3 linked regions of the Sus scrofa genome follow. The protein of the gene in region 3 purifies or fractionates together with the protein of the main gene of each other region. This does not show direct contact. Links are inferred from orthologs where the notes say so. Each region holds a gene or a part of one and is shown on either strand. Other genes may lie near its edges.

Region 1 (3,780 bases), on a different chromosome or scaffold from region 3:
CCGCTCCCACACAAGAAACCTGTGGCGGTGTGCTCCTGGCTTCTTCGATGTGTGTGGCGGCGTAAACGTCCACAACCCCTAGAAGTCAGGCTCAGCGGACCCGTCCAACCACCAGGTCCTCTCAAACCAGCACTTTAGGGCCTGACTTCAGGCCAGGCTGGGAAGTGCCTCTCTGGCCTCATTGTATTCCCACGCTGTTTGCTATTCCCACCGTGGCATGCGGAGAAAATACCGAACTTAAGGAGAATTGGCCAGTGGTTGTATGGCTACATTCAGGACTGAAGAACTTCAAATCGTGTTCTTTCTAAACCCACCAAAAACCATGCTTCATGAAGGTTAACATCTGTACCTTCGGTCCCATAAGCAGTGTCTGCTCCACACCAGTGTCTGAATATTTGGCGAAGTGTGTGGTTTCCCTAAGCTCCGGCCACAGCTGATGTTCTTGCCTCTACCATGCCCTGAGCTCCCAGGTGTTGACTAATGACCAAGTACATATCCATATCGCACAACCTTCACAAATTGGTCTCATGGTCCCCGTGGAAAAGGTGCTTTATGAGGCTGTCTGTCAATCTTGGCAGCCACTGGCATGAGGGGCAACTGCAGATGAGGGCCCGTAAAAGAATCCAAAAGCAGAATGCTTAAATCTTTATTCAGCCAATTCTCTCAAGCCCCAGGCCCTGATGCCCTTCACCCCGACCCCTTTCCCAACAGGAGGCAGTGAGCTGAGGTCACAAAATATTACATACATTCGCACACATCATCAAAAATACTCAAGGGAAAGACCCTGGCTTTGACTGGCAAACAAGGCACAGAGGTGGGCCAGTGCCCACACACAAACCCTGACCCAGGGACATCCTCCTTGGAGGAGGCACTGAGGCACCATTGCTGCACCATGAGCTAGCACTACCTGACCCCAGAGTGTCTGAGGAGTCAGAGGGTGCTACAGAGAGAATCCTAGACTTCCTTGATGCCTAGAATATCCATCCTTGGTTGTGACAGGGCTGTCCTGAGACCCTATCCAAGACTTAAAACACAATCTTTCACCATAGATGAGGGCCCTCATCCCTGCAAACATGACCCTATTATTTGTTTGTAGGATCTCAAAGATTCTTGTATCTAAGATACAAATTAAGTAGACTTCTGTCTGCTCCAGCCCCATTGGCAACCCTGGAGCAGCTTCCCAGGGCAACCCTGGCCCACCATGACCCAGTACATGAAGGGCAGAAGGGTGCAGAGCCATGCTCTGTTACACCCACTTGTGGACACAGGGGACCAGCTCCTTCGCTGTTCTCTGGGCTCATTCCCCCAGCAAGAGAGGGCCTCCATGCACATTCATTCCTCAGGCCACATGGGCCTTCGCACACTCACACGGCACGCCCTTGGCGCTGCCTACTCTCCTCCTTCCACCCAGGGGTACAAGAGGTCACCCCAGGGGTACAAGAGGTCACCCCAGGGGGCAGGCATGCAGGGCTTCCTGGATCTTCTGGCGGCAATAGGAGTACTTCTTCAGGATCTGGCGGAGGTGTTCCTCTTCTTCCCGCTGCAGGATGCGTAGGAAGTTGTGTAGTTCAGGCATGCTGAAAGCATCCCACTGTAGAGGGGGGGAGACACAGGCTGCAGCACACACCAACAAGCCAGCAAGCCCTCCCCAGAAAAGACCAGAGCATCATGATCACACAGCTGGGATGGGGCTTTCTAAAGTCGGCTTCTTGCCTGATGGCCTCTGCTAGGATTTCCAACGACAATCCACATACAAGATGGGCCCCACAAAGTAGGGCGGTCACCTCGTGGACAGGCAGCCAAGCCAAATGTTCCCCAGTTACCTGTGGATAATCATACCCACTCTCTCTGAGTTAAATCTCACTCTGCCTGTGTACTACCTTGGAGCTAGAAAGATTCCAGGTAAAAAGTTCTAATGCCTGAAGGGGGTGCCTCCATGTCATCCTGTGCCCATCTGTGTGACTTTGATCTGACCACCACACTGTAGAATGGGACTCCTGCATCACCGGAGGGCTTTCCACAATGGGAAAGAGCAGAGCACAAAGACATTTCTTCCTGGCTTCTTGAGTTAGGCCCTAGACCTTGGCATGAGTGTCACTTTAGCTACAAGTTTCAAATACTCTTGGGAGAGGTCTTGCAGGGCTACTGTAGCTGCAACTCACCAGTCCTGCCCAGTGACAACCAAGAAACTAAGGATGGCTGTATACTCACGTTCACCTCCCCAGAGTCATTTTCTTTCAGGACAAAGCTTAGGGCCTTCTCACTGGGCCCTGCGAGGAGCCGGAGCCGAAGGGGCTGCTCATCATCTGATAGCTTCCGGAGGTACACTGAGGACCAGGCAGGGGGACGGGAGTGTTTGATTAGTCAGGCCCAGTCCCCTCAGCTGCTGCATGCACAAGCACATTTACTTTCAGACATGATGGGGTGGGGTGGAGTGGGAAGCCCACCTTGGCCATGGCGCTCAGCCCGCTCAAAGAGCGCAAACTTGCGGGGATCATCTACCACCAAGAACTTGCGCAGCAGGGCCTCGATGACTTCACGTGCCCGGGTGCGTGACAACACATGCAGGTGCTTGACAGCATCCTTAGGCAGGTAGAAGGAGGTACGGCGTTTCACAGCTGTGCCCCGCCCTGGGCCCCGCCGGGCATCCTGCAAGGAGGGTGGCTTCTTGCTGGAGGGAACGGATACAGGACGCACCAGCTTCAGCTGAACCTTGATGAAGCCTGTATAGGAGCCGTCTTTGTTCTGAAGAAGAAAAAGCAAACCATGACTAGGTGCCAAGTGAGATGGAACAGATTTGGATGCTACCAGCCCACTTGGGGCTAGGCTGGGTATGAATAAATCACTGCTTGGGCCTACCCAAGAAAACCTCAGCTGTGATCCTTGGGCATCAGGCACACAGCTGGGTTCCTGCCCCTCTCCAAAACAGGATGTCAACTCACAAGGCTCATGAACAGGTTGCTGTTGATCTGGCTGTTGTACTCCTTGATCTTCTGCTCAATCTCAGCCTGAGAAAGGTCAGGTGTCTCCCACTCCACGGGCTCATCCTGAAAGATGGGAAGGTGTGGACACAGGATTCTTAAGGAACCCATTCCTCTGTAATGTGTCACAGGCAAAGGAAGTGAGCCCTGGATGGACCACTATGAAAAGTGGCCTATAGAAAGTGACAACAAAGCTTGAGGTCTGGAGTTCCCTGGTGGCTCAGTGGGTTAAAGACCTGGCATTGTTACTGTAGTAGCTTGGGTCACAGCTGTGTTGTGGATTCAATCCCTGGCCGCGGAACTTTCACAGGATGTGGGAGTGGCCAAAAAGCAAAGAAAAGTTTGAGCCTTGATGAGAATAACCTATTACTTCCTGCCTGGAGCCACCTTAGCACTGGGTAAGGCCCTAAGAATACCTGGAAACCAAGGTAACTGAAGGCATGAATGAGGCTAGGGGCTAGGAAAAGGATGGGGATTCTGAGGATGGACAGCTTATCTCAGCACCCTAGTTGGGTGGGGTCAGGGCGTGTCCTGGAGAAGGCAATCCACTTTGCTACTCTGCCCTGACCAAGACCCTCTATACAGTGAGAGGTGTAGGGACTGGTGCATACCAGGAGCTCGGCCGCCAGTGGGCAGAAGGGGAACAGCAACCTCTACAATGTTAACAATTAACACCCCCTGGTGGGGGACTTGGGGCCAGCCCTGTATATCTGACATAGTGAGGAAACCACTGTGACATGCCATTTGATCTTGACACAAGCCACACAAAAGGTGGCTTTAGGCCAGGCTCCAATCTGCT
Region 2 (3,163 bases), on a different chromosome or scaffold from region 3:
TAATGATCTTATAATTTGTATCCAGTTACACAGTTTACTAGTTGTAAGGACTCAACACAGCAAAAGAAACACTACTCCAGGCATTACCTGGGGCACAATGCCATTTTATTTTATTTTAGTTTTATTTTTGCTTTTTAGTGAAAATGGAACCTCCATGGCATACGGAGGTTTCTAGGCTAGGGGTTTGAATCAGAGCTGTAGCCTCTGGCCTACACCACAGCTCACAGCAACACTGGATCCTTACCCATCAAGTGAGGCCAGGGCTCAAACCTGCAACCTCATGGTTGCTAGTTGGATTTGTTTCCACTGCGCCACAACGGGAACTCCCCAACGCTGCCATTTTGGAGAACAGAAGTTTCCAGAGATGACACACCTCCTGAGGTAGTCATTAGTGAGCCTGTCAGCATGTGGTGAGCACTGATGTTACAGCTTTGTCAGCAGGGTCCCTGGGTATGAAAGATGGGAGCAGGGCACACAAGTGCCAAATAACCTGGCTAGCGGTAAGCCACTGAAGGGTTCAGAGTTGTTATCACAGCATAATCTAGCCTGTCCAGACAAATATACCTTCCTTGCCCTGGAAAAGACAGAATCCAGGTCATGAGTTTTTTAAAAAAAGATACAGAGATGAAATGTGTTGGGTGGCACAGTAAAATTTATTTGTCTTTATGATTTACATGTAGTAATTAAACACACAAAAGAACAAACGCTGTCAAGATGGCCATATGTAGCTTAGGAAAATGACTGGTCCCAGTTCAATCATGCAAATGTTCATTCAGCTTAGAAATGAGTTTCTTTTTAATAGTTTTAATCTTTATCAGTCCCCAAGGCTTGCACAGTTCAGTACAAATGTTTCTGCTATTTTGCTATCATCAGGCACATGATGTTTACCAATTCCCAGGAAATAAATGAAATCAACAAAAATGTCTGGTGACAACTGAGCACATTTTCACAGAAAAAATGTCATGAGCTTATTACAATTTGATACAGTTTAGCTATGAGACCTACACATGAAACAATATTCACAATTACATTTGTCTTAAGGAATTATTTCTTTTAAAAAATTTACCATGCTTTTTTGTGCAAGGGTTCCATTGATTTCTTTGGTTTTAAACATTACAGCTCTGTCTGACCTAAATATATATAGTTTTATTTGTACCAAGCATCAAAAATAAAAAATTAAAACTTCAGAAGGTAAAAATGGAATTATTGCTTCTGTATAAAAAAATGCCTGGGCCCTTTGGGTACTATTGCTATTATTGCTTTGCTTCTATTGGAAAACTATCCTGGAAATGAAAGCATGTACCCCAGAGCTCCCTGCTTACAGTATAATTGGGTTGTTCATTATCATCTAGTAATAGTCCCTGCCTTCACCAAAGCTATCCTGATCTTGTCCTTAAAAAACAAAACAAGGTGAAATAGCATAAATAAATAAGTTTACCTAAAGGGATACAATAAATAGGCTAATAGAAAAGAATAAAGAATACTGTAACATAAAGCCCTTCGGTGCTGTACAATTACACAACAGCTTTGGATTTTCAAGGTTTCTAAACACAGCCTTCGTTTTAAAACACAGTTTTAGTACTGGTATGCAGCTGACAGATGTAGAGAACACCATTTCTGCTGTTTTCATTATTTAAAAAATGAAAACACAGTGGATACAGTATTAAATTCTGTCTTTGGGGAATTTACCTGGGTTTGTACCATCGTCAGTTTTTGACTGCTGCCTGGTTGTAGAGCACGGATCTTAAGAGATTGAAAAAGATAGCATAATACCCCTTCAATTCTTAGTGGTTTCTTGGTCTCCAGAACAGTCATAGAAACAAACAGAGGAGAAATTAGATTCAAAAGTTCTGCTGCCTTCTTTTCTTGGCATCCATCGCATCCAGAATGGGTTGTCTTTTCGCAGTGTATCTCTGACGGAGCTCTTCTATTTCTCGCTCCATCATGGGGTCCAGCGCTTTTAACCGCATCTGTAGTTCTTCTAAACTTAGATTTTTTAACTGAGTGTAAGGAAAAAAAAGTAATAATTATCTATAATGGGTTAAAGTCTAATGAATTTTAGCAGGAATATTTCAACTCTTTACATCATCTTTGAAATATGGCTCAACAATTAAAACATGAATTCTTTCCTTGAAGAATCAGGAAGCCACATCTTGCGAGAAAGAACCTCAAGTAATTTGCAATGAAACAGTAAAACAAAAACAAAAAAAAACCCTTCTGCTTTTAGGAAAGAACAAATGAGAAAAATAAGCTAACAAAAATGTGTGTTTAAAAAAGGCAGAAAGATACATCCACCATTGTCACCAAACAGACTTTCTGGCTAAGTTGGGGATGTATTCCCTCTGATCTCGCACAGCCTCGCCAGCTGTGGAGCGCTACAGCAATCACAGATACTTGCAGAGATCCCCCAAGAATGTGACAAGACTGAATACAGCTTAAATTGACTGCTCTAGCCTGCATTTTACCAAAGGCTTAAATTTTAAGCACTTGGTTAATCAGAAAATTAAATGATCCAGAATACTTTTACCCCAAGCATTTTGATAGAATAGGGCTTATGATTCAAAATAACCTAAATCTAGTACAAACAGTGCCATGTAAGTTCTGACATGGGGCTTGGCCAATTTGAAAGTGAAATACTTCTCACATGTTCACTGTATACATTATACAGTAATGGTATGATTTGACTGAATGATTTAGTTTTATTGTGCTAGCTTCTGGGGATACCACCAGCGCATCCTTTACTGGTTTTCTGTGTAACAACAGAAGGCAGGCCTCATGTCCTGTGTGAATGGGAGATAAAATCTGTTCGATGTAACAGGATCTATGGCATCCTGAGATTTATTGTATTTATTTATATGTCAAGTCAGTAAGATACGGGTTATCTCCTGATAAACATATTTTAGGGATACTGCCTCAGGGCTCATAGGATGCCCTGAAATATATAACCTAACACTTTTAACAACAACAACAAAAAAAATCCAGAACTCTTGTCTCCTTCAGAAACTGACTCTTAAAGCAATGGGGGCAGGCAGGTAATTAAAAAAAATCTGTTAAAGCACAATGATTTACCGTTTGCTATTACTTATCTTGGTAGGAACTGTAAGAGAGTAAAGAAGTACTATTTCCTTGCCTTGAGAAACTTACAAATTAGTTGTAAGATTAG
Region 3 (3,925 bases):
TGGGACACCAGGGCGTGGTGTGTTGGGTGCTCTGCGGGGCTTGGGAGCAGCTTGGGCACCCGCCTTCTTGCTGCTGACCACAGCGGAGGCCGTCCGGCGTACCTCCCTTGGCTCCCTTGCCCGAGGGGCACTCAGCTTGGGGTCCTTCTTCACCTCCCGGGGGGGCCTGGCTTCTTTTTCAGCCCTGCGAGGGGCCTCGGCCCGCGGGGGCTCCTTTCGGGTCACCCCGGGGCGCTCCTGGGCAGGCCTGGAGGGCACCGTGGCCCGGCCCTCTCGCCTCAAGCTGTCCCGGGAGCCGACGCTTTCCTTGCTCTCAGCTCGCCGAGGCCCTGCCAGGTCCTGGGGGGTCACCACAGGCTCCCGCAAGAACCCCAAGTGCTGCAGGCGGACCAGGCCATCCAGGAGGCGAGCAGGAGGCGTGCAGCCAGGGAACAGCACTCGTACCACCTTCTCAGCGGGGCCTGCTGGGTGCCACACCAGCAGGGCGCACACGGAGGCCAGTGTGTGGTCAGCAGCAGCCGAGGGTGGGTGCAACACGTACATGTCCAGCCGGCCCACACCCATCTTCTGGAAGAGCACTGTGGGCTCGGCCGGCAGCGGCCCGCGGTGCAGGGGCAGGGGTGTGATCCCCAGCTGGGCCAGGAGACTCAGGGCCAGCTCTGCCTCGTCCTCGCCACGCACCAGCCGCGAGGCGGCCGCCCGGGCATTGAGAAACACAACCCCCAGGTTGGGGGAGATCAGCCTGCGCAGCCGGTCGTCCCCGGAGCCCCCGCCAGCAGCTGCCTCATCGCGCTCTGCCAGCTTGCGCCGCAGCAGACTGTTGAGGCCAGGGAGGCTGTCGGCGCCCGCGTGGGTCACCAGCACGGCATCCACCCGGTCGAGGTGCCGCACCAGCTTCCAGAAGCTTGACTTGGGGTTAGAGCCCCCGTTGACCAGCACGGTGAAGCCGTTGACAGCGAAGAAGGCAGCATCCCCGAGGCCACCAGGGAAGATGTAGCAGCAGGGCCGGGCGAGCCGGAGGAAGCCCACGGAGGCCGGAGGCTCGAGCAGCTCAAAGGGGGACGGCAGCTCCAGCGACTCAGCCACATACTCCAGGAACTCACGCAGGCCTTCGGAAGCCGGCAGGTGCACGGGAGGGTTTAACTGCAGCTGGAGCACGCCCTGGAGGCCAGACACTTCAGGTGCCAGCTGGGCCCAGTCACCGAAGGTCGGACAGGTGATGGTGAGCTTGGGCGGGTCCACAGGTGGGGGTGTGGAGGCCAGGAGATCCCGGATCTGTAAAGGGGGGATGGTGAAGGGGGCACCTGGAGCCAGGCAACAGCCAGCCCCTTAGGGAGACTAAGCAAAGACAGCCCTGATCTGCCTTGTGGAGCTGGGAGCAGCTTTTGCCCACCCTTGTTGCCCTCAGGACAGAACCCAGTGCTCGCCACAGCCCAGGAGAGGCCATGGTCCTGCTTGCCACCTGTTCCCCACCTGCCCTCCCCCATCCTCTCTCACTCTCCCTGCCCCAGGGCCTTTGCACTAGCTGTTCTCACCTCCGAGAGCAAAGCTTCCTCCAGGAAGGCCTTCCATACGCCACCTTGCACCCTCACCTCTGTGTACTGGTTCTTATTTCACCATCACTATATTACTCACTACAACATGAAAACATGGTTGGCCAGAGGTTTTTTGCTCATTTGCCCCACCTAGACTAAAGGGTCCAGAAGGGACCCCATCTAGTTCTGCCCCAGATGGGACCTAGAATCTGGGGTACCCCTTGAGGCCTCTGGAACATCTGCTGATCTACGGGCCCAGCCTCGGACCACACACTGTAGTGAGTAATGGGACTGGGCTCTGACAACATATGTTGTCACTGTCATTCCACAGGGGAGGAAGGGATGTTGCTCAGTGGGGACAGCAGGTGACTGGGACCACTCAGCCCAGTGGGGAGAAACCAGAAATCAGAGGCAGGATGGGGAAGGGATGGCTTACCTCTTTGTCCCCCAGGACCTGGAGGAAGTGGCGAGGTGAGAAGCCCCCCGTCTGTAGCAGCAGTTCCCCTGTCTCCTCCAGGCATGGCCCAGCCAGCACCAGCAGCTTGTGAGAAGCAGGGTCCAAAAGAAGATTCCGGAGCTAAGGGAGGAGGAAGTGTTCAAGGCCATATTCTGTGCATTGAGATAGCCAACACCCCACTTCAGGGTCGTCCCCAGCCCCAAATCTATATATAACCACTCACTCCTGTCGCCCCAACATCCTAGCCAGTGCTAAACTAGAAGCTGAGATTGTAGCCTATGGGCATCCTGCTGGTCTTTGTGTACCCGCCCCCACCAACTCCTGCTCAATCTAGAAAGCCCAGCTCCAATGCCCCCTCCTCCTGGAAGCCCTGATGCCCCAAGCCCACCCCTCCCACTGGCCCAGCCCCAATGCCACAGGGAAGAAGGTACTGTGTCTGAGTCTGTCTCCTCCAAAGCTCCTTCAGGGAGCGTTTTTTTGTTTTTTGTTTTTTTGGGGGGCCTTTTAGGGCTGCAGCTGCGGCATGTGGAAATTCCCAGGCTAGGGGTCGAAGCGGAGCCACCACTATCAGTCAGCCTATACCACAGCCACGGCAACATTGGATCTGAGCCGCATCTGCAATCTACACCACAGCTTAGAGCAACACCAGATCCTTGATCCACTGAGCAAGGCCAGGGATCCAACCCACATCCTCACAGATACTAGTAGGGTTCTTAACCCTCTGAGCCACGATGGGAACTCCCAGGGAGCACTTTTGATCAGAGGAATCAATCTGCACAAGGATCTCTAGATCTGGGGCTCTATCTTGTTCATCTTTCTCATGGAAAACTGAGAGAAGAGTGCAGATGTCCACAAGTCAGAAGTATTAAGAAATCAATTGAGACAATTACTGGGGTCCAGAGGGAACACATAGGATGCAAACATCAGCCAGGTCTTGCCTTCCCACCTCCAGACCTTCCCTATCCCATCCGTTCCTCCCAAACTCCAACCTTTTCTGATTCTACCTGCTCCCATCACCAGCTCTGAGAAGGGAATAAACTGAGGCTGGTGCCATCACGTGAGGCTTCCTGGGGGAGGGGCACTGCTGCTGGGTATCAGGAGCAGGACTTCAGGCAATATGAAGTCAGAGGACAGGGAATGGTGCCCACCCCAGCAGCCCAATTCCCCCAGGAGCCTACCGTTTCCTACCTCGTCACATAGGGATTTGTCTGATGGATTCAGAAGGACCAGCGTCTCCAGGGTATCTCCACGGTGGTGCAGGCTCCGCTGGCCTACGGGGGAATCAGGCCCTGTGAGTGTGGCACTGAGCCCCATACGTGGGGGTTAGGCTGTCCTGGGGTCAAGCTCTGCCTCACTATGTGACCCCAGGCAGCCACAAGCCCCTCCAGGACTCTGTTTCCCAGGAACCCCAGCCAGGGGGTCATCCTGGGATTAACAGGCATGTGAGAGCTGCAGGTCAGGATGAGGCAAGAACAGGAAACCCGCCTGTGGCAGGCCTCGTGCAAACACCAGTGATGACAAGGCCTCTGCTGCTTGAGGCCCCAAACTGCAGCTGCCAGCCCCTTGGGGGATGCCGAGGTCACCTTCATTTTATAAACAAGGAGACTGAACCCAGGGAAGTCCAAGGAGGGGACACCAGGAAAAGAGTACAACATTGGCAAGGGCCCTGAGGCATGATTGAGCTCTGTGTGTCTGAGGATCAGGAAGTGGCAGGTGGGGTTGGAGCAGGGGGTTCTGGGATCCAAAACTTTGTCTGTCCCCTAGAGCCCAGATATATTCCAAATATGAAGCAGCACCGGGCTCTGGGTTTGGAGAGGCAAGGATACTCCACTGCTGGTAACTTTTTTTTTTTTTTTTTTTTTGGCTTTTCAGGGCTGCACCTGTGGCCTATGGAAGTTTCCAGGCTAGGGGTCGAATAGGGCTGCAGCTATGG

What was found. The genes of interacting proteins can lie anywhere in the genome.
Region 1: the proteins of MAP1S (region 3) and RASSF1 purify together in Homo sapiens (affinity purification with mass spectrometry; 4 studies listed by BioGRID and IntAct, counting the BioPlex papers as one, with this or other methods). This does not show direct contact. The link is inferred for Sus scrofa from reciprocal best matches to the Homo sapiens genes MAP1S and RASSF1.
Region 2: the proteins of MAP1S (region 3) and STK3 purify together in Homo sapiens (affinity purification with mass spectrometry; 3 studies listed by BioGRID and IntAct, with this or other methods). This does not show direct contact. The link is inferred for Sus scrofa from reciprocal best matches to the Homo sapiens genes MAP1S and STK3.

Annotation. Positions count from the first base shown.
Region 1 is NC_010455.5:32,815,524-32,819,303, forward strand, and holds the end of RASSF1 (ras association domain-containing protein 1), read right to left. Parts: exon of another isoform or gene 3,093-3,780; coding exon of another isoform or gene 3,048-3,092; coding exon 2,943-3,047; intron 2,746-2,942; coding exon 2,448-2,745; intron 2,328-2,447; coding exon 2,212-2,327; intron 1,592-2,211; coding exon 1,445-1,591; 3' UTR 633-1,444; downstream 1-632. UniProt on the Homo sapiens protein: Potential tumor suppressor. Required for death receptor-dependent apoptosis. Mediates activation of STK3/MST2 and STK4/MST1 during Fas-induced apoptosis by preventing their dephosphorylation.
Region 2 is NC_010446.5:38,304,247-38,307,409, reverse strand, and holds the end of STK3 (serine/threonine-protein kinase 3), read right to left. Parts: intron 2,001-3,163; coding exon 1,842-2,000; 3' UTR 633-1,841; downstream 1-632. UniProt on the Homo sapiens protein: Stress-activated, pro-apoptotic kinase which, following caspase-cleavage, enters the nucleus and induces chromatin condensation followed by internucleosomal DNA fragmentation.
Region 3 is NC_010444.4:60,022,460-60,026,384, forward strand, and holds part of MAP1S (microtubule-associated protein 1S), read right to left. Parts: intron 3,264-3,925; coding exon 3,181-3,263; intron 2,113-3,180; coding exon 1,972-2,112; intron 1,276-1,971; coding exon 1-1,275. UniProt on the Homo sapiens protein: Microtubule-associated protein that mediates aggregation of mitochondria resulting in cell death and genomic destruction (MAGD). Plays a role in anchoring the microtubule organizing center to the centrosomes. Binds to DNA. Plays a role in apoptosis.